Kluyveromyces lactis: one gene and its partners. The protein of the gene in region 1 binds, or shares a complex with, the protein of each later gene. Links are inferred from orthologs where the notes say so. Each region holds a gene or a part of one and is shown in the gene's direction. Other genes may lie near its edges.

Region 1 (2,760 bases):
GTTTCTTTGAGAAAGAGGGGAAATCAAGTAACGTTTTTTTCCCTGAACTAAAACTGTCCTCCGTTTCTGATATCTTTATATCTGTATTCACTTTAATATTCGTATCTTCATCAGCGTCCGTCGGCAGTAATAGCAATTCTGGATCTACATCTTTGTGACTTTCTTCATAATGTTGTACTAGCTGAGTTTTCTTCGCAAATGATGTATCTGGACATGAAGAACATTTCCAATTCTTAGTGACCAAACTCTCGTCATGAATCATCATATGATTCCGTAAACCTGATTCAGCAACACAAGGTTTCCCACAAATAGGACATGGTAATTTCGGATGGCATTGTTTAATATGTTGTTGTAAAGAAGACCAAGTGGAAAATACGTCGGTACATGAAAGAAAGTCACATTGGTACATTCCGGTAGATTCTGGGTTGTGATGCTTATCTATGTGATTCTTCAATCGATAAGGCCTTTGGAACGTCTTGTTACAGTGAGGGCAGGTAAGTTTCTTTTCGTGAACGGACAAGATATGCGATCGGAGTTGTGGATGTTTGTAGAATGATTCGTTACATCCCTCATATGAACAGTGGAAGGACTTCGTATGTGTAATTTCATGTCTCTTTAACTGTTGTCTGGTTGTGACACCTTTCCCACATATAGAACATGTGAAAGGTTTATCATCTGTATGAGAGAACATGTGTCTATTCAGATGCGATTTTTTCGCAAATTCTTTGCCACAAGTGTCGCATTTAAACGGTTTGATTCCATGATGCACGGTGAGCTGATGCTCCGTGAGCAAACTCGGTCTTGTGAACGATTTGTTACACCCTTGATAATCGCAGAAATATACTTTAGAACGCTGTGACGATGAAACTGACACAGTGCTAGTCACACTGGCCATACTCATAACACTATCCATGGACTCTGATCTGGTTAGCGGCGGTGTAGGTACACAACATTGTTGATCATCATCGTTTTCACCAACAACATTCTGCCGTACCTCATTTTCCTTATTGTATGTCGGCGCGACCATCACAGATTCATCAGTAGCTACTACAACGTTGCCTAAATAGTCCATAACTCGGTTGGGTATTCCGTGTATCGGCGTGAATCTCCTTACCCAATCGCACCTCATCGCCTGGGTTTTTTCTATGAATTTCATTTGAATCTTATTTTGTATTTTCAATTAGGGACGTAAAACTGTAATAATCATACAGAATAGACAGGGAAAAGAAGCAGCTACCACCTCCTTCTGAGAACTTCAGTAACTGTGTACTACTAGCGATTCTCAAAGGTAATGCAAGCAAGACAAATAGGATACCATAAATGGGCTGAACCAGTAACATATTCATACAGTTCACCACCTCATCTCGAAAAGTGTTGATAATCGTTTCTTTTACTGTCACAATCGATTTTTGAAAAATTTGGAAAAATTGGAAAAAGCTTCAAATGAAAATGAGCTAGCGAGTAACACAGTAACACGATGTGGACGATAAATTGTCTTATCCAGGTCTTTATTGTTGATCAGCGGCATCAAGGATTAGCATCTTGATAGATAAAGATGTCAGACAACGAGGGAGCGTATGTTATAGCGATTTAATAGGTGTTTTTCCCTATTATTTCTTCGTAGAAGTTGTCTTCATGAATAGTTTTACTAACTAGATGAGTATGCGTTGCTGAATGTCAATTCAAGCACAAACTATCTAATACAGATTTAATGACGGTCCAGAGAACTATGAAGATTTTGACCAAGAGCATTTCTCAGATTACGACGGATTTGATGAGGGCGAGGGTAAGTTTGGCGATGAGAACGGATTAGGCACAGATGAAAACGGGAACACGATAGTTGCTGGAGGATTTGGTCCAGAAGAGTTCCAGCAACAGGAGGCTCGTCGGAGAAGAACTTTGAAGGAGAAGGCTATCGCCAAGGAAGATAGAACTACAACACCATACATGACAAAGTACGAAAGAGCCAGAATTTTAGGTACCAGAGCCTTGCAAATATCTATGAACGCACCAGTGTTCGTTGACTTGGAAGGTGAAACCGACCCATTGAGAATCGCTATGAAAGAATTAGCAGAGAAGAAGATACCATTGGTCATCAGAAGATATCTTCCTGATGGATCGTTCGAAGATTGGTCGGTTGAAGAACTTATCGTGGACTTGTAGAGAGCATACCATAGGCATCTTTAAAATAGAAAACCCCAGAAATATTAATAGTAATATATGTGTATATTATATATGAAAAGACACTGTAAATTTAGATATATCCACTGCGAATCATTCACTGATAGATTGAACGAACTTTTCTCCCTTAAATACTCTTCGGCCAGATACTTGTTTCGCAGAAAAGTGTGCCAATACACGATCCAGTTTCGCAGGGTCTTCCAATCCGACGTCCTTTAGACATTGTTCAAGCTCAGCAGAGTCACACAAGAGCTCTTCATTATCTGAGAATGCCTTAAGTGCTTCTCTGATCTCGGTTGGGTCTGGCATTTCACCCATACATTCGCTCATTAACGACAGATACGCTGGAAATGTTAAAGTTTCGTCAGGAGCTAAGCTTAACATTTGTTCCACATCTTCTTTATTATCTGGTTTACCCAATCCTCTCAACATCTTTGCAAGATTTGATTCTGATATCATTCCATCTCCATCGTCATCTATTAGTTGGAATGCTTCCTGCATTTTCTTGATCTGCTCTTGTGTAAACTGGGAAAAAGTGACCGAACTACTCTTATTCATCGCGAAGCTAGTAAACTTGTT
Region 2 (3,163 bases), on another chromosome or scaffold:
AATGCGGAAACGTTCTTTGAATCGGCCATCCCGAACCCTATTTCTTCTCCGTATGGGTCCATGGTGGTCTGTTCCTCTTTACCGAACTCCATTCTGTTTTGCATTTGCCTTAGATGCGACATCTTGAACTGTTCTTTGTACTTACGGAACCTTCTACCAGCTCTTTTCTTCTTTGGAGCGTCTTCTGGGATCGGCAACGGCTTGATGTTACTGATATTCGGCGGATCTATTATCTTCTTGAGTTTTTCAACGATTTCATGCCTCCATTTCAAGCCCAGCTTCGAGGCATCTGAGTTCCCATCTGAATTCCCATCTGGGTTAATGACTTGATTCCCCATGGTGCAATCCGCTCTCGCAGCAAGAGCAACCTTGGCAGAGACCATTCTAAGCGCCTGTTTCTGGAACTCAGGAGGCTGTGTTTGTACCACGTCTGTATAGAATAGATATCCCTTTTGTCGTACCCCAGAGATATCTAACGATTTGCCATGCAACGTTTTGTCCTGGCCAATGGATGCCAAATTACAACTGGGAACCACACTTAGTTCTTTAACACTACCACAATGTGTTACCAGTTTAGCTGCAGTATCAGGTCCCAATAAAGCACATAAGTTTGGAGCTACCATTTGTATTCTTGTCTCAACATAGTGTGAGACGTTGTCCCGTAAGTTGTACAGAATATCGAACCAATGGATGGCCTTGGAGAGGAGATCCTTATCAATTCGAGCACCCTCTTTGAAATCTGTCTTTAGAGACATAGATACCACAAGGGTTTCCTCCTTCGATAGCACTTGGTCTAATTGCACGTTGGGAATATCCTGTTGCAGCATCTTGACCACGTCGACGTATTGTTTCCTTTCAGGGACAATAGTTTCCAACCCAGGGAACTTGGCCTTGTAGGTATCTACAATGCATTGAAACACCATGGAAAGCTCTGTATCGAATAAAGGCATCAATTGGCCCAGTTTTATGACATTGTAAGGCTCTGTCGTATGGTTTGTTGCATCTCGTATTATAGTTTCGTGCTTGGCAAGTTGGATGAGGTCATCTAAATCCGCGCCTTGGTGCCAGAATTGCGCGTGAAAGTCAGATATTAGGTTGCTAACACTAGGAGAGGGTAAAATATCCGATTCTGTGGCTATACCACTGGTTATACCACTGGTTACACCACTTAACCCATCATCCAAGCTTTCCTCATCGCTGACACTTCCATAATCTTCGTCATCTAAAAGGTCCATTATCACCTTGTGAAAGAGTAAGACAGGGGAATATGGTTATCCAGTTACAATCCAACTGTAAAATACCACATACTGAACTAACTGAGGATGGTCAAAAGAGCAGTAATCGACTAGTACCTGCTCTCGAGTAGCTATCTCATCGCATTTCTACCAATCTTTAATCATATATAATCACTCTATACGATGTGATCTTTTCTTTTCCAAAAATTTTTCAGTTCTTTAAAGCGATGAGATGAGCTTGAGATGAGGTATCTACACCGATGAGACGGACCTTGACCAGTGTCATAGGGCTTTTCTGAGGTCGTTTGAGAGCTCAAGAGGTAGCATAAACGTAGCAATACAATTGAAAAAGGATGTCCAATATCGTTGGTGTTGAATATAACCGTGTGACGAACACAAGTTCAACAGATTTCCCTGGATTTAGTTCGGATCAAGACAATTCATGGGACTTGGAGAAGTTCAAGGAAACTTTTGACGTACAAATCGAGAGTTTGGATGAGCGTGAAGTGAATTTCGATTTGGTTCATGTCGACACATCGATTGCTAACGCTTTCCGTCGTATTATGATCTCAGAAGTACCATCTGTCGCTCCAGAATACGTCTACTTTTTTAACAATACGTCTGTGCTACAGGACGAAGTGTTGGCGCATAGAATCGGGTTAGTGCCATTGAAGGTGGATCCAGATATGTTGAGTTGGGTGGACACGTCATTGCCCGAATCTGAAAGGTTTACAGATGAAAATACGATAGTGATGTCGTTGAACGTGAAATGTACCAGGAACCCAGATGCTCCAAAGGATTGTGAAGACCCCAAGGTTCTTTATAGAAACGCGCATATCTATGCTAGGGACCTTAAGTTTGAGCCTCAGGGGAAACAGGTGGAACAATTTGCCAAGTGTCCCGTGGTGGCAGCGGATCCAGATATCTTGTTGGCCAAGTTGAGACCAGGTCAAGAGATTTCGTTAAGGGCACATTGTATTCTAGGTATCGGTGCAGACCATGCCAAGTTCTCTCCGGTGTCGACAGCTAGTTATAGACTATTACCACACATCCAGATCACACAGCCTATCACCGGTGATGATGCCAAGAAATTTGTGAAATGTTTCCCTAAAGGTGTCGCAGATGTCAACGAGAAGGGTGAAGCTTATATCAAGGATCCAAGGAAGGATACCGTGTCCAGAGAGGTGTTGAGACACGATGAGTTCCAGGGGAAGGTTAAGTTGGGTAGGGTGAGAGACCACTTCATCTTTAACGTGGAGAGTTCTGGTGCTATGACACCGGAAGAAATCTTCTTCAAATCGGTCAGGATCTTGAAGAACAAGGCGGAATACTTGAAGAACTGTCCAATCTCACAATAAGAAGCCAATTCGCATGTTCTCTATTTAATATCATCCACTCCCTTCCATACACAGACAAACCGTGCATCATAATTCCATTTCTTTCATTCCCTGTATCATACGCATTAAGCCACTCAGTGAACAGATTAGGCACTTATATATATTCATATATAAAGAAGCCACTACATCTAAACTAGTTTAATGTACATTTGTTTTTAGATTCAACTGTGTTACACCATCGCATCTACATTTGTCGGTTCAAACGTCTCCTGATCCTGCGCCATTGGCCGTGCTTTGGTTATAAGATTTTCGATCATGGCTTTTGGATCCACTTCGAGTATCAAGACGTTACCATTATATCCGTCACTCAGATCACTCTGGGCTTTCTGTGTATAGGTTTCGTCCGCGACTTCGTGATCTTTGAATGGTGAGATGGATAGTACAGTTACGAGGAATAGCCCTACTTGAAAGAATAGAATTAGCAGTTGGTAGAAAAGGTACGATGCGTTACCCTTAAAATTACTCGAGGGCACTCGTTCTCCAATATACTGGGTGAACCCAGTGCCTTCTCAATTCCCCCTCTATTATGCC
Region 3 (2,738 bases), on another chromosome or scaffold:
GAAATATTTTGAAAGCCTGTCCATTTGCAAGTCAATTCGATTATCCCAATAATTTGATTGACCTTGATCATCAATAGTCTCGCCCTCTACTAAGATTTTGAATATATCCAAAAAGATGTTCTTAGAGAGAGTGGTGTACCCGTTCATTACAAAAACCGGTATACATGGATCATCTTTTTGAATATCCGGGTTTTGCAACAAGGCGATCTTCATAGAAAGAAAGTTGAATGCAAATGATTCGAGGAATTTCTTCTTCGATCCGATACCATAGAATAATAACGTAAATCCCTGCAGTAACTCGAAAGTAAACTGCTGAAAGAGTGTTTCATGTATTTTTTGTACTGCCTTTGTCGATGAACGATGGAATATATCATTGGAAAGTTGAGAAAGAATGTTATATTCATCTCTGGAAATACTTGGTGCCGAGGACATCGAGTTCTTGGATCTTTTATCAGTTTTTAGGATCTTGGTCTGATCTATGAAACCTTCGAAACCATCGAAAAAATATATTTGAGATTGTTCATCAGATGTTTGGTCATTATTATCGCTCTTTGGCAACTTAGTCGGTTTGAAATTAGGGTTCAAGTTCAATTTCAGATGCTTATACTGCTGGATATCGTCGTATGCAAGATCATCGTCTATAATTTTATTCCTTTGAACTGTATTTCTGGTAGTCTTTCTTTGGGGTGATGGTTCTGCATTAAATGTAAGTTTTCTCCTAGGCGACTTATTAGGTGAGCTTTCATTAGAATCTATTTTAATTTTTAGATCCTCGTATTCGTCGTCATTGTGTATCAATTCATTAGTATCTGACACATAGTCAATGGCATCATCTTCCTCCAACTTCACCCTCTTGGTTGTTTTCCTTTGCCTTCGCCTGGGAGTTGCAGTATCTGTCGATGAGTGCTTCCTACTCTCTTCATCTTTATATTCAGTCTCAATGCTAACAGACTCTAATGTGAGCGATCGTTTGGGTGACTTAGGTCGTACCGTTTTGGAAGGCGAAAGAAAATCAAAACTTTTAAGTTTCTTCGGTGACTGATATCTTACTTTGGAAGGTGATATGAAAATGTCTTGGTGATTTACAATATCAATGTCTTCTTCTTCTTCCTCATTATCACTGCACTCTTTCTTCGTCATGTTTTCAAGGTTTAACCGCTCCAAGATAATCAAATACTCTAAAGTCTAGAGAATGGAAACTAACTTATAAATGTGGGAGTTGTTCTTCTATCAAACCTCGCCCACAGGTATTAACCCTATACACTATATTTGACATACAAACCTTAAATGTCAACATAAATATCGATTCAAAGTTAAAGGCATGAAGCTCTACTTTTTTTTTTCTGAAAAATTTCTATATGAGATGAGGAAAGAATTAAAACCTACTCTCAATAATTATAGCGATGAGGTTCATTTTAGAGTGTATGCGATAACGTGTTGAAGGAGCTTATGGGCAGGTAACGGTGCGTTAACGTATCGTGTTTGAGGAGTCTGACATTGAGAATTAAGTTGTAGGATGCTTTCGTTTTGCCCATTATGCAATAACATGTTGTTGGTATCAAAAGCTGATTCAGGTCTGTATAAACTAGCATGCGGATCATGCCCATACCAGTTTTTAATTGATGGGATAGAGGTATACGATAGAAAGAACCTCCCTAGGAAAGAAGTTGATGATGTCTTAGGTGGAGAAGGTGCATGGGATAATGTTGACCAGACAGCAGCACAATGTCCGAACCATGACCAATGTGCGGGTGAAAGAGCTTACTTCTTCCAGTTGCAAATCAGATCTGCAGATGAACCTATGACAACTTTCTACAAATGTGTTAACTGTGGTCATAAATGGAGAGAGAACTAGAGATTGTGTATTTTTGAAATTTACTTTGATTTCGATACGCATCAAACAAAATATTATAGATCTTCTTAGCAGTTATTACATCGCTTAGAGCAAAAAACTGACAAGAAGATAAATGTTCGGCTTTAATCGCTGCCATTTGTCTCTCGCCCAGCTAAAAACGCATGCTTAATCTTTCAAATGATGAAAGGTAGATCACGCTTTCATTAGGCTCGCAAAAGGAAGTTGTTAGGGTTTGATGAAACTTCTTCTGAATCAAAGTGTAATATAATGTATAAATCTACAAATAGATTGAACAAGACAAAATAAAAGTATTGTCGACGGCCTGACAGAACCATTTCGTGCAACGCTGTATGGTACTAACGACCGACTTGGTTTTTGAAGCGTAAGAAATTAAGATCATTAGAAACTAAGAATTAAATACATGAGACGTTACATAAATAAAGGCATTCAAACCCATTCAACAGGGTTCTTCAATACTTGGAGTAATTTATCTTCTCTAGAGTCTACTTCAGGATGATGGTCATACAACCACGAAGCAGTCACAGGCAAAGACATCAAAATACTTTCGACACGGGATCCTGGAGTTCTTAAACCGAATTGAGTACCTCTGTCAAGGACTAGGTTGAATTCAACGTATCTGCCACGTCTAATTTGTTGCCATTGTCTTTCTTCTTCAGTGTAAGGCATATCCTTTCTTCTTTTGATGATTTCGAGGTAAGATGGCAAGAAGGCATCAAAACAGTTTTCAACCATTTGCAAGATTTCGTTTGGATCACGATCATCGACATCATCAAAGAAAATACCACCGATACCTCTGGTTTCTTCTCTGTGTTTGATATAGAAATACTCATCGCACCATTTCTTGTATTTTGGGTACAAGGCA
Region 4 (3,523 bases), on another chromosome or scaffold:
ATATCCTGTCTTTCTGAACTTTGTTTGCAGCTCTGTTCGAAAGTTCGATATCAAAGTTTTCTTCTTCTTCGCTTTCCATATCACCCTCCTCGTCCTCATTCTCATCTTCTGCCTCATCGTCACTGGCACTTGCTTCACTGTCCAGTTCATCCTGTTCTTGTAATAGTTCTTCATCAAGTTCACCAATATCCGAAATATTTTCTTCAGCGTCAGAGTCTTGCTCAAAGCGTATTGCTTCTGTGTCCGGTAGTTCGCTAGCTTGTCTCCAAATTTCTTTACACTCCAAAATACGCTCCATTACCGGATGATCTTTCATAGAAATGAAATCTTCGTTATTCTGTAATTCATATAAGAAAACTGCAAAATATGAACTAATTGTTCCAAGATATGAAGATAATGCCATAATTTTGATCTGAATCAATTCATTATTCTCCTCAGTTTGTTTGAGTTTCAGCTCGTCTAAAACGGGTGATAATTTACTGAATTCCTTTGATAAAGGAAGGTATTCTGGGAAGGATGTCTTCAAGAAACCTTCCTTTCTCTCTAAGTCCATGTTGAGAACATCCCTAAGGGAGATTTCAGTAGGACGTTCTTGATCCTTTTGATCTTTAAATTGACCTAAATCGAATTCCTTAGCTTCTTTTACCCATTCTTCATCAACTTCATCCTCAAGATAGTCTTCCATATGAAGGTCTTCCAAATGTTTCTTCTGTTGGCGCAAAGCTTCCTTTTCTATCTCTCTTGCAGTCTCTTCATCGTCCAAGTCATCGGCACCGTAGTATTCTGCCTTAGAAGCACCCCATGCGTTCTCATTGTCCAGCATAGTACCACTCTCTTCTTCTGCATTCTCACCAACGTCTAATTTCCTACCAAAAACCTTCTTATACACAGCTTCACCTGTTAATTCTTCTTGTTCACTTTCATCATCTTCAACTTCTTCACTTTCATCCTCACTATCTTCATCTGACATTCCCATCACTTCTTCTTCTTCATCCACTGAAAGATCAAAATCATCTTCTGGTTCCCTTTGATCAAGACCTGCGTCCTCAAGTAGCACTTTTTCTCTCTTGTTTGCAAAGTCATCGACCTCATTCATGCCATAGGCAACATCTTCTTCCTGGTCTTGTCTACGATTAGACCCTCTTTTTGAGACCTTTGCACCTCTCTTTGCCATATTTGAAGTACAATGTCCAGTACAATTTAAGTCCAACTCAATATACAGTCGATTACAGCGGCTGATAGTAGTTACCTGTTATGCAGCTTGTCATTCTCTTAGTTATACCTATTCTCTGAATTGAGATGAGATGAGATGAGCTTTAACTTTAAACAAAATTTTCCAACATTGCTTTTTCAAGATTTTTCACCAAAATTGAAAGCTGCACTACTACTGGAAGAGATCACAATGAGATGAGCAAAGTTGATGCGCAAATAGTCAATGCAAGGGTTAGTATCCAGTAACTAGTCTTCGTTTTCATATTAGGATTTGCTGTTGAACGAAGAAACGGTCGAGAATCGCAGTATTAAACGCTTGAGTCAAGAAGTTATTTGCATCAAATTGTGATAGGAATCAACTAAAGATGAGTGGACGTTTACCTGGATTGAACCAGGGGAAACCATCAACCGGAACCTCGCTGAAGTTTAAGCCCAAAGTGGTAGCTCGTAAATCTAAGGAGGAACGAGATGCTAACGTTCTGAAGGTAGAAGAGCCGAATAAACAGGTTGAGAAGAAGAAATATACACAGAAACCACAGGGCAACCAGAAGAGGCAGCCGAAGTATTTAAACAACACAAGAATTATCACATCAGGCCCATTGGCAGCTGGTAATTTCTCTGGAGGATCTAATAAAGGGAATAATGGATTCATTAAGACGGAGGGTTCTCAAAGCAGTCTTGTGCAACGCGGTTTGAAAGCTGTTTCTGATGATGAAGCAGAGGGATCGGACGCAGAAGATTCAAAAGCTGGGAAGAGAATTAACATGGGGAAAGAGTATACAGAGGCAGACTTCAAGAAGGAAACTGACGATCTGTTTGATGAAGATGAGGATTCTAATACTGATGCAGCCATGAGTGAAGAGACCAGAGCCTCTAAACAATTGGCCAATCTTTTCCCTGTCAGGGCAGTTCGTATCAATCACGAAAAGGTGGATTCTCTACAGAAAGTTGTCCAGGAATCCATGTCAACTTTGCAGACCAGGGAACCAACACCAGGACCTGTGAAGCTAGAACCAGAACAATCGGATGGTACTTTAAATGACATAGTGAACGAGAAGGAACAGCAGTTAAAAGAAAAACTGCGTTTGCTTCAACTTCAACAAGATTTCCAATCTGTTGACAGCGCAGAAGCTCTCAGGGAAACAAATTTGTTATTTGAGGATCATAAACATATGTACAAAAAGTTAAACAAGATTAACGACGTTCCAAATAAGTTTATGTTCTTCCAGTTCCCATCAAATCTACCTGAATTTCAGCCACAACCCCCAGTGAAATCCACCGAAGAAGATGTAAAGCCAAATGGTGAAGCAAAAGTAGATGAAGGAAGTGAACAATCAAATAGTAAAAACAGCAAAGAAACACAAATAGATTCACCTGAGCCTTTGATCGGAAACGTTGGTTCAATTAGAATGCATCGATCCGGCAAAATGTCAATCAAGATCGGGGACGTCGTAATGGATATCAGCAGGGGCGCAGAGTCTACATTTTTGCAAGACGTGGTTACACTAGATTTGGAGGGAGAAGAAGCGGAGCTACTAGGCCAAATCGACGGAAGAGCGATTGTAACACCACATATCTAATTATATAGATTTCTGCATGTACATGATAGTTGAAGAAAAAGCTCAGCAAATCAATTCGTATGATAACATTAATTTAATGTAGACAACTACATCAAGAATGGGAGATTCAAATACCACTGCGAACACAATCAGCAGCTACTGCATAGTAACCTAATAAAGATGCATCGCCTTTTCAGGTTATAATTCCTGAAATCAGAATAGTCATTAAGTACGAGTTGATGTTTGGATATGCAGGGCTCCATTACAAAACTTGTTCATGTATACAAGGATTCCCTTAAAAATGACTTCAACAAACACAAAACAAGGTATAATCGAAAGGACACTACAACCATAACCTTACCTCTCACGGTATTTAGTCAGTTGATTGAATCAACTTGAAAAGTTTGGATCAATAAAATTTTGGAAGTCTGAGTTATGACGGATAGTCAGGATAAAGTAAATGGTGGATCCAAGAACACATTTCTATCAAGAGTGTTTGGTGTGCACTCATCTGCTGTAGAAAACTCTTTGGATGCCGCTGAGATGAGCCATATTACTATGCCTACGGAACAGGATTTTAGTAACTATGCCGAGGATGAAGGTAATGTGAGGCTAATAGAATCCGATCAGGAACCATCTTCATCTAACGAGGACAGCAATGATGAGGAGCCGCTAATACAACAGCCACAATCCATAAGATTTGATACAGCATCTGATGGGATGGCAACAATACAATCGGAATCAGAGCCCGA
Region 5 (2,887 bases), on another chromosome or scaffold:
TAAGTTTTGACATTTCACAACTTGACCAAAAGTTCCTTGACCCAAAAGGTCCAAGACCAAATATTTTCTGTTGTGTTCAACCCCCAACACATCATTAACGTAAAGGATGTAGTCACTGTTGACATTATCATGTCCATTGTTATATTTCCCCTCATTTGGTTTTGTTAGCACTCTTTTCGGGTTCTTTGATGTCTGATATGCAAAATCGTCATTACACAATGAATAAGTGGTAGTTAACGACTTAGTTAGAGCCATCAACGGCGAGACCGTCTTGCTGCTTAATGAAGCACGTCTATATTTCGGTGTGGAATGTATAACGGGATTCAAGTCCTGTCTCGTAAATATCTTGTTGAATTTAGGGACAATAATTATTGGAGAAGGTGGCCTTGACGACGGAAGTGAACTTGAGCCGCCACGCGTGCTCATGTATGCACCTGCAGTAGCGGGATACACAGAAGAATTTATGGAGCCAGCCATATATCCCGCAGTATTAATTCCAGGTTTCCTAAGCTGAGATGGTTTCGTTACCTGCTGTGGCGAAAGTTGACTGCCACCAGTGACAGCAACCGACTGCCTTCTTTGTGCATCATTATAGTTGGGAAACGGTTGCTTCTCATAAAGGAACGGATCAGGCCCTGCCGCACGCGCAGGTGGTATTACTAAAGATGAGTTTCTCCTTCTGAACTGTTGTGAGGATTCATCTACAGCGTTATCTTCTTCGTAAGTAGTGGGCAAGGGGAAGTTGGATTGCTTCCTCATAGTAGACCTCTGAGACTCAGGTATCTGGGGAATCTCTTGCCATGGGTTTTTGAATATCGATTGACGTGGCGACTGCATTTGGAAACCACCAGCCGCATTTCCGCCTTGTTGCTGCCCTGCATATATATTCCCGCCTGCATTGGAGCTACTCCCAGCTGGCCCATCAGGCGCAATCTCTGGGCCCTGATTCTGGGTATTTGCCTGCGTCTGAGAAAAGTTCTGGTTCTGATTCGAACTCGACGCTCCCTGCTGAGAAGCCATGAACGCAGGGTTCCAAAGGCTATTCTTATCCCCCATTTATTATATATCAGATTATAGTCAACGTCTAACCACGTTATTGCAGCAAAATATTAGAAAAGCCTCTCTTCCAACAAAGAAATGACCAATTCACAACTCAAAGTTTCAACGGAAATACCTTTTAAACGTTATATCGACTGAATAACCCTGAGTTTCGCTTAAAGAACTTATAGCAAAACAGTAACAGAAACAAAACCAGCTAAAGAATGTACGCCTTCCTATATTAAAAAACAGCTAAATTCGAATCTGGCTATACCTAATCACGATGAGTACCAAGTACATACAGCGCTGCCCTAAAAATAAGCCCTGGTGTCCTGTACAAACAAACAGCTTTGCCAAGATTCACTTTAATACCTTAAATACAGAGAACATTCATGTCATGAAGTCATAGGGCCAATATTCTGATGTTGAGTTTTCGCATAATTACCGTTAGGAAAAAAAATGGAAATTCAATTACGATTAAAACGAGAGGTAAACTAACTTTGTCACTCGAAACATCAACTGGAGTTACATTTATCTAAGTTGTACCGTTGTCAAAGTGGCTGATTACTGGAATAGCACTTTTTGTGATTACACTCGTCTACTTTTTTGGACCGCTCTTATAGATAACAGCTCGAATTTACCATGAATACATCTACATCCACTGTTCAAACCAAGAGACGTGGGTTGAAGAAGTTTGTTGAAGAAGAGAATGCTGCCACTTTACACTTGGGAGAAGAGTTTAATTTGAAGCAAATCAACCATCAGGGGCAGGAGGAAAACCTAGTGGCTTTAAATTTGAGTGAGTCTCGTTTGATTATAAAGGAAACGCTACAGAACCGTCGGAAATTATTCAAGACATGGGCAAGCAATGGTGCATCAAATAAGGACGATGACATGGATGATGAAGATAACGTCAATGTGCATACCCAAACACAGGAGAAAGAGTTACAGGATATAGATAGATTGCTTGAACAGACCACTGGTGGACAGAATCAAGCGTTGAAGCAGACCATGATATACCTAACGAATTTTTCACGTTTCCGTGATCAGGAAACAGTAACCGCTGTATCACAGCTTTTATCATCCACAGGGTTGCATCCATTCGAAGTGGCGCAATTGGGTTCTCTATCGTGCGAAGATGCAGATGAAGCCAAGACTCTAATTCCAAGTTTAGGAACCAAGATATCTGACGAAGATCTAGAAAGAATCCTAAAGGAATTATCGAATTTGGAAACTTTATACTAAAACCTATGTACTATATCTTATATATATCCCCGGTTTCACCTCTGCTCCATCATCTAATAAATAGTTTGCCGGCACCGTTTTTCCACCATCTCATCAAGCAACTGTTTGGGTGGATGGGAATATTAGATTCGCCGTTAGGATCACACATACAACGGAGCACTAATCGTGCTGATATGGACGTGGGACATGTTTCAAATGGAACATGGCTGTATCCAATTTCATCAAAGTGGTGGATTTCATTCTTGTCTAGAAGTAATGAGGCACCTATACTGTGCACGGGTGCATCACCCCAACGTTCATAATAAAACCCACCCTTGGAGTCCAAGTAATTGAAATACTGAAGATACTCGTCACTTCTAAAGAAATTTAGATCTCCAATTTCGAAATTGGACCAGAAATGACATAGATTATAGTCTGTATTCGAATCAACAACAGGGAAAAAACGTCCCACCATCGTGGTATCCGTCAAAAAGCTTAGACTGTTGTTAGGATGTAGAATTTCTGGATAAGTATCCATGAATTCCTCAACAGCATCCCATAATGTCGTTACCGTATCCTCATATTCAAAGATAGATATCACAAATCCGTATTTCTTCTTCTTCTC
Region 6 (2,942 bases), on another chromosome or scaffold:
TTGAGCAAGCTCAGAAGTCACTTGATAAATTTGGTTGGCCAATTCTCTTGTTGGTGTAACTACAAGTGCAAAACATCCAGATTGTCTTGTGATATTTTGACCCAACGATAGTATGCTTTGGAAAATTGGTAATAAAAACGCCAATGTCTTACCAGAACCAGTTTGTGCATGAATAAACAAGTCGTTTTGTGCTTGTAAGAATGGTGGGATAACCAACTTCTGAATCTTAGTTGGCTTAGAAATCTTCATCTTGACGTTTAAGTGTGAAACCATCGTGTCAGTGATACCGAACGAATCGAAGGTGTCACCAACCAATGGTGCATTGGAATAAGTCACTTCGGCTTTTTCATCATGAGCATTACTATTGGTAACTGTGTCAATATTTCTACTGGACGTGAACAAAGAGGAAACGATTTGCGAGTTTAGCTGTAATGGTTGCGTTACCCTAGCTGGTTGTTCTACATTAGAACTGTTATCAAATCTTGATCTCTTAGGTTCTACAGGTGCCTGTGCCGAAGTTGAATTCGAAGAGGAGGCTTCCAATTCTTCAAAAGTTGGTGCTCCATCAGATTCTAATGGTCTCTTTTCACCCCTGACCCTCGGTTTACGACCTTCCATCATCATTTTGGCCTTTCTCCTGTCCTTCCATTTACCACCGGTAATTTTACCTCTACTGACTGTTTCACTAGCATCACTAACGTCAGTTGTAAAATTTAACAGCATTCCATCATCGTCATCATTGAAACTCATCTTTACCTACTTGATGATCGTTGATATGGGCTGCTGAGCGACGTACAGAGACTTTCACTTCATCTAATGTCAGCTCATCGCACAGTTAAGTCCTACTTCCATATTAAAATTTTCTATGCTTGATGTCAAGAAAAAGCAATACAAAGGTAAATACTCACAGAATTGGATAAAATACAGTTAGATTGGCGACTATCAGGATCGTTTGAACTGGACATTTGACACTGTAGTGGTTCGTGCTATGTACAGGTCATGTTATGTGCTGAAATTGATATCTCTTTGGTTTCATTACTGATTCAATTCTACAAACCTTGTCTGAAGTTTAATGTTAAAGCATATTATATACACGTAGAAAGGCAGATGGACAGAGACAAAAGTCGCTTATGACAAATATTAATAAGGTGGTGATGAAATACTCGCCCAGCCGGTATGGAACCAGTTGGAAGGTGATAAACCATCCTTTTACAGACGCTTCTCTCTTCTTGTTTCAATGATCACAAGACACGGCTCATCGCATCGATTGAAATTTTGACATTTCGGATGAGAAGGCTCACTCATTAGTACAACTAATGAGTGTTGAACCACTTGTACAACCAACTATTGTCCTGTTTCTATCCAGGTATCTGTAAGAGGGTGTCAGTGGTCTCAAAATGTCTAATGGTTTGTTTGTTACCGATGAGGACGGTGATACTGAGATGAATGGGAACGGTAAACTCGATAAGAAGCTCCAATCATCAGAGATTCTTAAAGAAGACGATCCAGTAGTGAATGAAATACCCATTAATTTAACGGTTGGACCTTGTCCATTGCATGTGTTACAGTTTCCTAACAAACCTAAAAGACTGGCGAAGAATATGGATGAACATCCTCCAATTGCTGGTGTACGCTATAAGGATGAATCAAGCGTTTGGGAGATAGATATCCCATTGAATACACAGGTCTTCTTCGACAAAGAAAAAGCTGCTGAGTCTTGGAACAATGTCGACGTTCAAACTTTGAAAGGTGTGGCTGTAAGCAACGACATGTTGCAATACGCAGGCGTTATGAAACAAGGACAGCTATATTTAATACCAGTAGAGAAAGTTGCCCAAATGAGACCATACTTCCGTTACATCGATTCGCATCAACAGGTTAAGAAGGACGAGGATGCCAAGGCGAAACCTGCGAATCCAACTGCCAAGAAAAACCAGGTAATAACAATGTCAGTGAAGAGTAGCAGCGAAGCGAATCAAAATAGACTAGGAGGTGCATTGCTAGCTCATAAGGTAGCAGACGAAGAGGAATTCAAACCTTTGGAATGGAAGGACGATACTTTCGAATCGTTTGTAGAAGAAGTTACAAGTGAAAAAAGTACTGTACCATTAAAACCAATGGACAACGACGCTGTGTATCTATCAAAACTATTTTAATTAATTATCGTATTTAGTAAGTATAAATATATATTAAACCGAGAAGGGATCAAATTCTCCTTAATCATACCACATCTTAATCAACTCCTCAGAAACAGCACTAGGTGTCAACCCTCCAAGATCAGTGATCAAAGCTGTGATGTATTCTTGACTTGTAAAGTCGACAGAAGGCCCACTCAATGGTTCTTCATCGTCTTCTATACCGTTTTTGCTAAAATCTAATGGATCTCTTTCCATTGGAATATCATCTGACGAAAGAGGGAACATACGTACGAACTTATGCGACTCACTAACCACATAGAATGGTTTCCTTGCATTCTTCGCCAAGACACCGATAGAATACGTTCCTACTAGATTGATAATACCTCCAGATTCAGCAACACCTTCGGCTCCCACAAAGATCTTGTTTACCTTATGGATGATCGTACCAACAGCATTATCTACAATCATTGTCACTGGGATACCCTTCTTTTTAAGTAAATGATACAGTTGCAACCCTTGGCCAGACGGTCTGGATTCAGTGACGATACATCTAAATCTGATTAACTTCTCTGCTGCATGACTTAGTAAAGAGAAAACAGCTCTGGAAAATCCATGCACTAATATGATATCATCATCGGATATGAAATCAATCCCAATCTCAGCAATTCTATCTCTTGATTGTTTAGCTCTACTGACAAATAAATGCCCGTTTTCAATCAAATGCTGTTGACAATTTTCCCAATCACCGTACAAATGTGTGTTCTTCAAGACAAATCTCATAAATATATCACAACCTGCACGTAA
Region 7 (4,725 bases), on another chromosome or scaffold:
AGTCTCTATAATCAAGGCACCGTCTTGAGTTCGCTCTGTAGTTTCATCTTGTCCACTGTCTCCTTCTACAGCTGTTGTTTCATTAGCTTTATTTAACACGCTGTCTAGAGCGACTGAGGCACTTCTGAATGCTTTTGTGTCGGACGTCAACAACGTGGCTAATCTGGTAGGATAAAACTTTGCATAATCCGATTGATTTTGATAGATTAATCCGTAATCTCTCATATCCTGTAACATTGTTCTCTGCGTATTACTTAGTTGATCGCACTTATACGCCTTCCCTAGCTGTAATGCACCTAGCATGAAAATGAAATTTAGAACATCCACGGGATCCATCTGTAAACTTTCTGCCATCTTCAAATATTGAAGAAGAAGAGTCCACATCTGTGCATTGACATCTTGCAAGAGAAATTGGAAACCTTGGTTAGTAATTTTGAGTTCGCCATATTCTGCCTCTTCCATTAGACCACTATGCTGCAATAAGTCTAGAACCTTTCCACCAGGAGTGTTTGTATTCGGTGTTCCCACCATGTAATGCAAGATTGTTTCCCACTTTTCTGCACTATACTGGTCCAAAGTAGCTGTAGATACGGGATTGGTATCATCATCCGCAACATCACCAAAAGAGTTATTGATTTCACCACCAGTTAATACATTTTTGAAAGATTTCTTGAAAATTGGATTCAAACGAATCAATAGAGGTTGTTTACTCTCACCTTCTATTATAAGATTCAAGGATTTCATCGATTTAATAGAGTATTGTAACTGGTATTTCGCATCTGGCTTGACCCATTTATCTAAATCTCTAAGCGAGACATCGTGGTCCTGAAACAGCATCGACATAATGAAGAATTTTGCCATGGGAGAAAGCAATCTATAAATTGCCAAACATGTCGCTGGAGACTCATATAATCTTGATTGGACTTGCTCTGGAAGACCTTCTAGGTAGTCATTAACGGTGGTCTTGAAAAGATTCAGACTCATAGTATTGAAAATATGCAGCTCAAGGCCTCTTGAAATAGCAAGAGATTAGAACCAAGTGAGGAGATCAACAATTTGGTCACGTCAATCGATAATGTTATTTCAGCCTAATACGATTTGCTGCATTCGAACGATGCAATGCATCCATGATATCCGATTTGGAAAAGCTCATCTGAATCAATAGTACTTAAGGTTGATACCATGTCAAATCCAGACATTCGCATATTGAAAGTAAAATATATGTCACGTGTATATATATCATGTAACACGAAGAAATGTATCTTGCACGTGACTGAAAATTTGTTGATGACAGAAGAAATTTCTTTTCACTCTGTCAGATCAATTTTGGAAAATGAAAAAGATCAAATCAAGCTCATCTCGAATTTGAAATAATCGAAATACGCCAATGATTAATGTAGATGAGCTCTGTCAATATTGATGGAAACAAAGAGAAGTGCATTTATTGGCAGTTAGTGACTGTACTGATTTGCTGACCTCAACAAAGATTTGATTAAGTGAAATTTACTGGTTGGCTCCTTCTTTTTTCACTTTCAGTAGAGTAGCTTTGTTTGGTCTTTTTGCCTCTTTTCTAGATATTTTGTTTGATTAACTGTTTGGAACACTAATTAAGTTTGGAAAGGGTAGCTTTCAAATATCCTGATTGAATATTCTCTAAAATGAACCACACTGACTCCCATAATCCTGATGGCTATGAAAAAGATGAAGCGTTCGATGCTCTTTTGAAACCCGTCTTCAAAGGTAAAAAGCTGACTGACGAGATCAACACTGCCGAAGATAAATGGAATCTTTTGCCTGCCTTTTTAAAGGTGAAAGGGTTAGTAAAGCAGCATTTGGACTCTTTTAATTACTTTGTGGATGTTGATTTGAAGAAGATCATCAAAGCTAATGAGGTTATATTATCTGATGTCGATCCAGAGTTTTACTTGAAGTACATTGACATTAGAGTAGGATACAAACATAACGGCAACAAAGCTATTATGACCCCACCACATGAATGTAGATTACGAGACATGACATACAGTACTCCTATCTTTGTTGATATTGAATACACCAGAGGAAGATCAATTGTGTTGCATAGAGATGTGGAGATCGGTAGAATGCCCATAATGTTGAGATCAAACAAATGTATATTAGATGGTGCAGCAGAAAATGATATGGCCAAATTAAATGAATGTCCCTTAGATCCAGGTGGATATTTCATTGTTAATGGTACTGAAAAAGTCATCTTAGTTCAAGAACAATTATCTAAGAATCGTATCATTGTGGAAGCAGATGAGAAGAAAAACATCGTACAAGCTTCTGTTACATCTTCCACCCACGAAAGAAAATCTAAGACTTACGTAGTCACCAAGAATGATAAAATATACTTAAAACATAACTCTATCGCAGAAGAGGTTCCAATTGTAGTTGTTTTGAAGGCTTGTGGTGTTGTATCTGATTTAGAAATCATGCAGTTAGTTTGTGGTAATGATAGCAGTTATCAAGATATCTTCGCGGTGAATCTCGAAGAAGCTGCCGAACTAAAAATATACACGCAACAACAAGCCTTAGAATTCATTGGTACTAAAGTTAAAACTGTCAGAAGACAGAAACTTTCCATCTTGCAAGAAGGTATCGAGGCCATCGCTACGACAGTCATTGCTCATCTGACAGTGGAAGCTTTAGACTTTAGAGAAAAAGCATTATACATTGCAATGATGACTCGTAGAGTCGTAATGGCTATAGATAACCCAAAGATGGTTGATGACAGAGATTATGTTGGTAACAAGCGTTTAGAATTGGCTGGTCAATTGATGTCATTGTTATTTGAAGATTTATTCAAAAAGTTCAATAATGATTTCAAGGCAAACATCGATAAAGTCTTAAAGAAACCAAATCGTGCTGAAATGTATGATGCCTTACTAACCATTAACGTACATTCCAACAACATTACTACAGGTATGAATCGTGCAATTTCAACTGGTAACTGGTCTTTGAAACGTTTCAAGATGGAAAGAGCAGGTGTTACACATGTCTTATCCAGACTTTCTTATATTTCAGCATTAGGTATGATGACAAGAATATCCTCTCAATTTGAGAAATCTAGAAAAGTTTCAGGTCCTAGAGCCCTACAACCTTCTCAATTTGGTATGTTATGTACCTCAGATACTCCAGAAGGTGAGGCCTGTGGTTTGGTTAAAAATTTGGCATTAATGACCCATATCACCACCGATGATGAAGAAGAGCCTATAAAGAGGATTTGTTACTTGTTGGGTGTGGAAGACATAAGTTTAATTGACAGTGCTTCAATTCATTTAAATTATGGTGTCTACTTAAACGGTACAATCATAGGGACAACTAGATTTCCTACAAAGTTTGTGTCTCAATTCAGATGTTTAAGAAGAACTGGTAGAGCGTCAGAGTTCATCTCTATATATACCAATACACATCAAAAAGCAGTTCATATTGCTACTGATGGAGGAAGAATCTGTAGGCCGTTGATAATTGTTTCGAACGGGCAGTCTTCTGTTACTGCAGACCATTTAAGATCTCTTCTGGCTGGAAAATTACAATTCGATGATTTCTTAAAACTGGGTTTAGTCGAGTATCTCGACGTTAATGAAGAAAACGACTCGTTCATTGCATTATATGAAAAAGATCTATCTGAGAATATTACGCATCTAGAAATTGAATCATTTACTGTCTTAGGTGCAGTTGCTGGTTTGATTCCATATCCTCACCATAATCAGTCTCCACGTAACACTTATCAATGTGCGATGGGTAAGCAGGCTATTGGTGCAATTGCATACAATCAATTCAAAAGAATTGACACCTTATTGTATCTAATGATATACCCTCAACAGCCTATGGTGAAAACCAAAACGATTGAATTGATCGATTACGATAAACTTCCGGCAGGTCAAAATGCTACGGTGGCAGTTATGTCCTACTCCGGTTATGATATCGAGGATGCGTTAGTTTTAAATAAAGCGTCCATTGACAGAGGTTTTGGACGTTGTGAAACTCGTCGTAAGAACACCACCGTGTTGAAGAGATATCCAAATCATACTCAGGATATTATTGGTGGTATGAGAGTTGATGAAAATGGTGAGCCTATATGGCAACACCAAGCATTAGGCCCTGATGGGCTAGGTGAAGTTGGAATGAAGGTTGAAAGTGGACAAATTTATGTCAATAAATCTGTTCCAACTAATGCGTCGGATAGCATTCTAACTCAAACACAAGCTCAGTACAAGGAGACTCCAGTGGTATATAGAGCTCCAGAACCTTCTCATATTGATCAAGTTATGATGTCAGTTTCTGATAATGACCAGGCTTTGATCAAAGTTCTATTGAGACAAAACAGAAGACCTGAATTGGGTGATAAATTCTCATCGAGACATGGTCAAAAGGGTGTCTGTGGTATCATCGTAAAACAAGAAGATCTTCCTTTCAACGATCAAGGTGTAGTACCAGATATTATCATGAACCCACATGGTTTCCCATCTCGTATGACCGTTGGAAAAATGATTGAGTTGATATCAGGTAAAGCTGGTGTCTTGAATGGTACCCTTGAATACGGTACCTGTTTCGGTGGATCTAAGTTAGAAGACATGTCAAAGATTTTAGTCGATAATGGTTTCAACTATTCCGGTAAGGACATGCTTTATTCTGGTATTACTGGTGAATGTTTACAAGCTTACATTTTCTTTGGTCCAATCTACTATCAAAAGTTGAAGCATA

What was found.
Region 2: RPO26 (region 1) and RPC40 share a complex: the UniProt entries of both Saccharomyces cerevisiae proteins name them as parts of the RNA polymerase III (Pol III) complex. The link is inferred for Kluyveromyces lactis from reciprocal best matches to the Saccharomyces cerevisiae genes RPO26 and RPC40.
Region 3: RPO26 (region 1) and RPC11 share a complex: the UniProt entries of both Saccharomyces cerevisiae proteins name them as parts of the RNA polymerase III (Pol III) complex. The link is inferred for Kluyveromyces lactis from reciprocal best matches to the Saccharomyces cerevisiae genes RPO26 and RPC11.
Region 4: RPO26 (region 1) and RPC53 share a complex: the UniProt entries of both Saccharomyces cerevisiae proteins name them as parts of the RNA polymerase III (Pol III) complex. The link is inferred for Kluyveromyces lactis from reciprocal best matches to the Saccharomyces cerevisiae genes RPO26 and RPC53.
Region 5: RPO26 (region 1) and RPB4 share a complex: the UniProt entries of both Saccharomyces cerevisiae proteins name them as parts of the RNA polymerase II (Pol II) complex. The link is inferred for Kluyveromyces lactis from reciprocal best matches to the Saccharomyces cerevisiae genes RPO26 and RPB4.
Region 6: RPO26 (region 1) and RPC37 share a complex: the UniProt entries of both Saccharomyces cerevisiae proteins name them as parts of the RNA polymerase III (Pol III) complex. The link is inferred for Kluyveromyces lactis from reciprocal best matches to the Saccharomyces cerevisiae genes RPO26 and RPC37.
Region 7: RPO26 (region 1) and RET1 share a complex: the UniProt entries of both Saccharomyces cerevisiae proteins name them as parts of the RNA polymerase III (Pol III) complex. The link is inferred for Kluyveromyces lactis from reciprocal best matches to the Saccharomyces cerevisiae genes RPO26 and RET1.

The regions. Positions count from the first base shown.
Region 1 is NC_006038.1:314,278-317,037, forward strand, and holds RPO26 (DNA-directed RNA polymerase core subunit RPO26), read left to right. Parts: upstream 1-1,555; coding exon 1,556-1,575; intron 1,576-1,706; coding exon 1,707-2,163; downstream 2,164-2,760. Other genes in the region: PZF1 (Pzf1p), read right to left, coding at 1-1,156; MLC2 (Mlc2p), read right to left, coding at 2,275-2,739. UniProt on the Saccharomyces cerevisiae protein: DNA-dependent RNA polymerases catalyze the transcription of DNA into RNA using the four ribonucleoside triphosphates as substrates.
Region 2 is NC_006040.1:1,252,453-1,255,615, reverse strand, and holds RPC40 (DNA-directed RNA polymerase core subunit RPC40), read left to right. Parts: upstream 1-1,588; coding exon 1,589-2,593; downstream 2,594-3,163. Other genes in the region: U4/U6-U5 snRNP complex subunit PRP31, read right to left, coding at 1-1,235; GLD1 (Gld1p), read right to left, coding at 3,092-3,163. UniProt on the Saccharomyces cerevisiae protein: DNA-dependent RNA polymerases catalyze the transcription of DNA into RNA using the four ribonucleoside triphosphates as substrates.
Region 3 is NC_006042.1:1,707,436-1,710,173, reverse strand, and holds RPC11 (DNA-directed RNA polymerase III core subunit RPC11), read left to right. Parts: upstream 1-1,516; coding exon 1,517-1,855; downstream 1,856-2,738. Other genes in the region: ORC2 (origin recognition complex subunit 2), read right to left, coding at 1-1,140; HEM13 (coproporphyrinogen oxidase), read right to left, coding at 2,303-2,738. UniProt on the Saccharomyces cerevisiae protein: DNA-dependent RNA polymerase catalyzes the transcription of DNA into RNA using the four ribonucleoside triphosphates as substrates. Component of RNA polymerase III which synthesizes small RNAs, such as 5S rRNA and tRNAs.
Region 4 is NC_006039.1:1,432,716-1,436,238, reverse strand, and holds RPC53 (DNA-directed RNA polymerase III subunit C53), read left to right. Parts: upstream 1-1,577; coding exon 1,578-2,792; downstream 2,793-3,523. Other genes in the region: rRNA-processing protein SAS10, read right to left, coding at 1-1,174; autophagy protein ATG9, read left to right, coding at 3,207-3,523. UniProt on the Saccharomyces cerevisiae protein: DNA-dependent RNA polymerase catalyzes the transcription of DNA into RNA using the four ribonucleoside triphosphates as substrates. Specific peripheric component of RNA polymerase III which synthesizes small RNAs, such as 5S rRNA and tRNAs.
Region 5 is NC_006037.1:539,714-542,600, reverse strand, and holds RPB4 (DNA-directed RNA polymerase II subunit RPB4), read left to right. Parts: upstream 1-1,680; coding exon 1,681-2,283; downstream 2,284-2,887. Other genes in the region: serine/threonine protein kinase YAK1, read right to left, coding at 1-1,056; KLLA0_A05775g (glycosyltransferase family 15 protein), read right to left, coding at 2,333-2,887. UniProt on the Saccharomyces cerevisiae protein: DNA-dependent RNA polymerase catalyzes the transcription of DNA into RNA using the four ribonucleoside triphosphates as substrates. Component of RNA polymerase II which synthesizes mRNA precursors and many functional non-coding RNAs.
Region 6 is NC_006042.1:1,291,479-1,294,420, forward strand, and holds RPC37 (DNA-directed RNA polymerase III subunit C37), read left to right. Parts: upstream 1-1,397; coding exon 1,398-2,156; downstream 2,157-2,942. Other genes in the region: DBP7 (putative ATP-dependent RNA helicase), read right to left, coding at 1-750; GCN3 (translation initiation factor eIF2B subunit alpha), read right to left, coding at 2,217-2,942. UniProt on the Saccharomyces cerevisiae protein: DNA-dependent RNA polymerase catalyzes the transcription of DNA into RNA using the four ribonucleoside triphosphates as substrates. Specific peripheric component of RNA polymerase III which synthesizes small RNAs, such as 5S rRNA and tRNAs.
Region 7 is NC_006042.1:96,673-101,397, forward strand, and holds the start of RET1 (DNA-directed RNA polymerase III core subunit RET1), read left to right. Parts: upstream 1-1,658; coding exon 1,659-4,725. Other genes in the region: TFIIH/NER complex subunit TFB2, read right to left, coding at 1-984. UniProt on the Saccharomyces cerevisiae protein: DNA-dependent RNA polymerase catalyzes the transcription of DNA into RNA using the four ribonucleoside triphosphates as substrates. Second largest core component of RNA polymerase III which synthesizes small RNAs, such as 5S rRNA and tRNAs.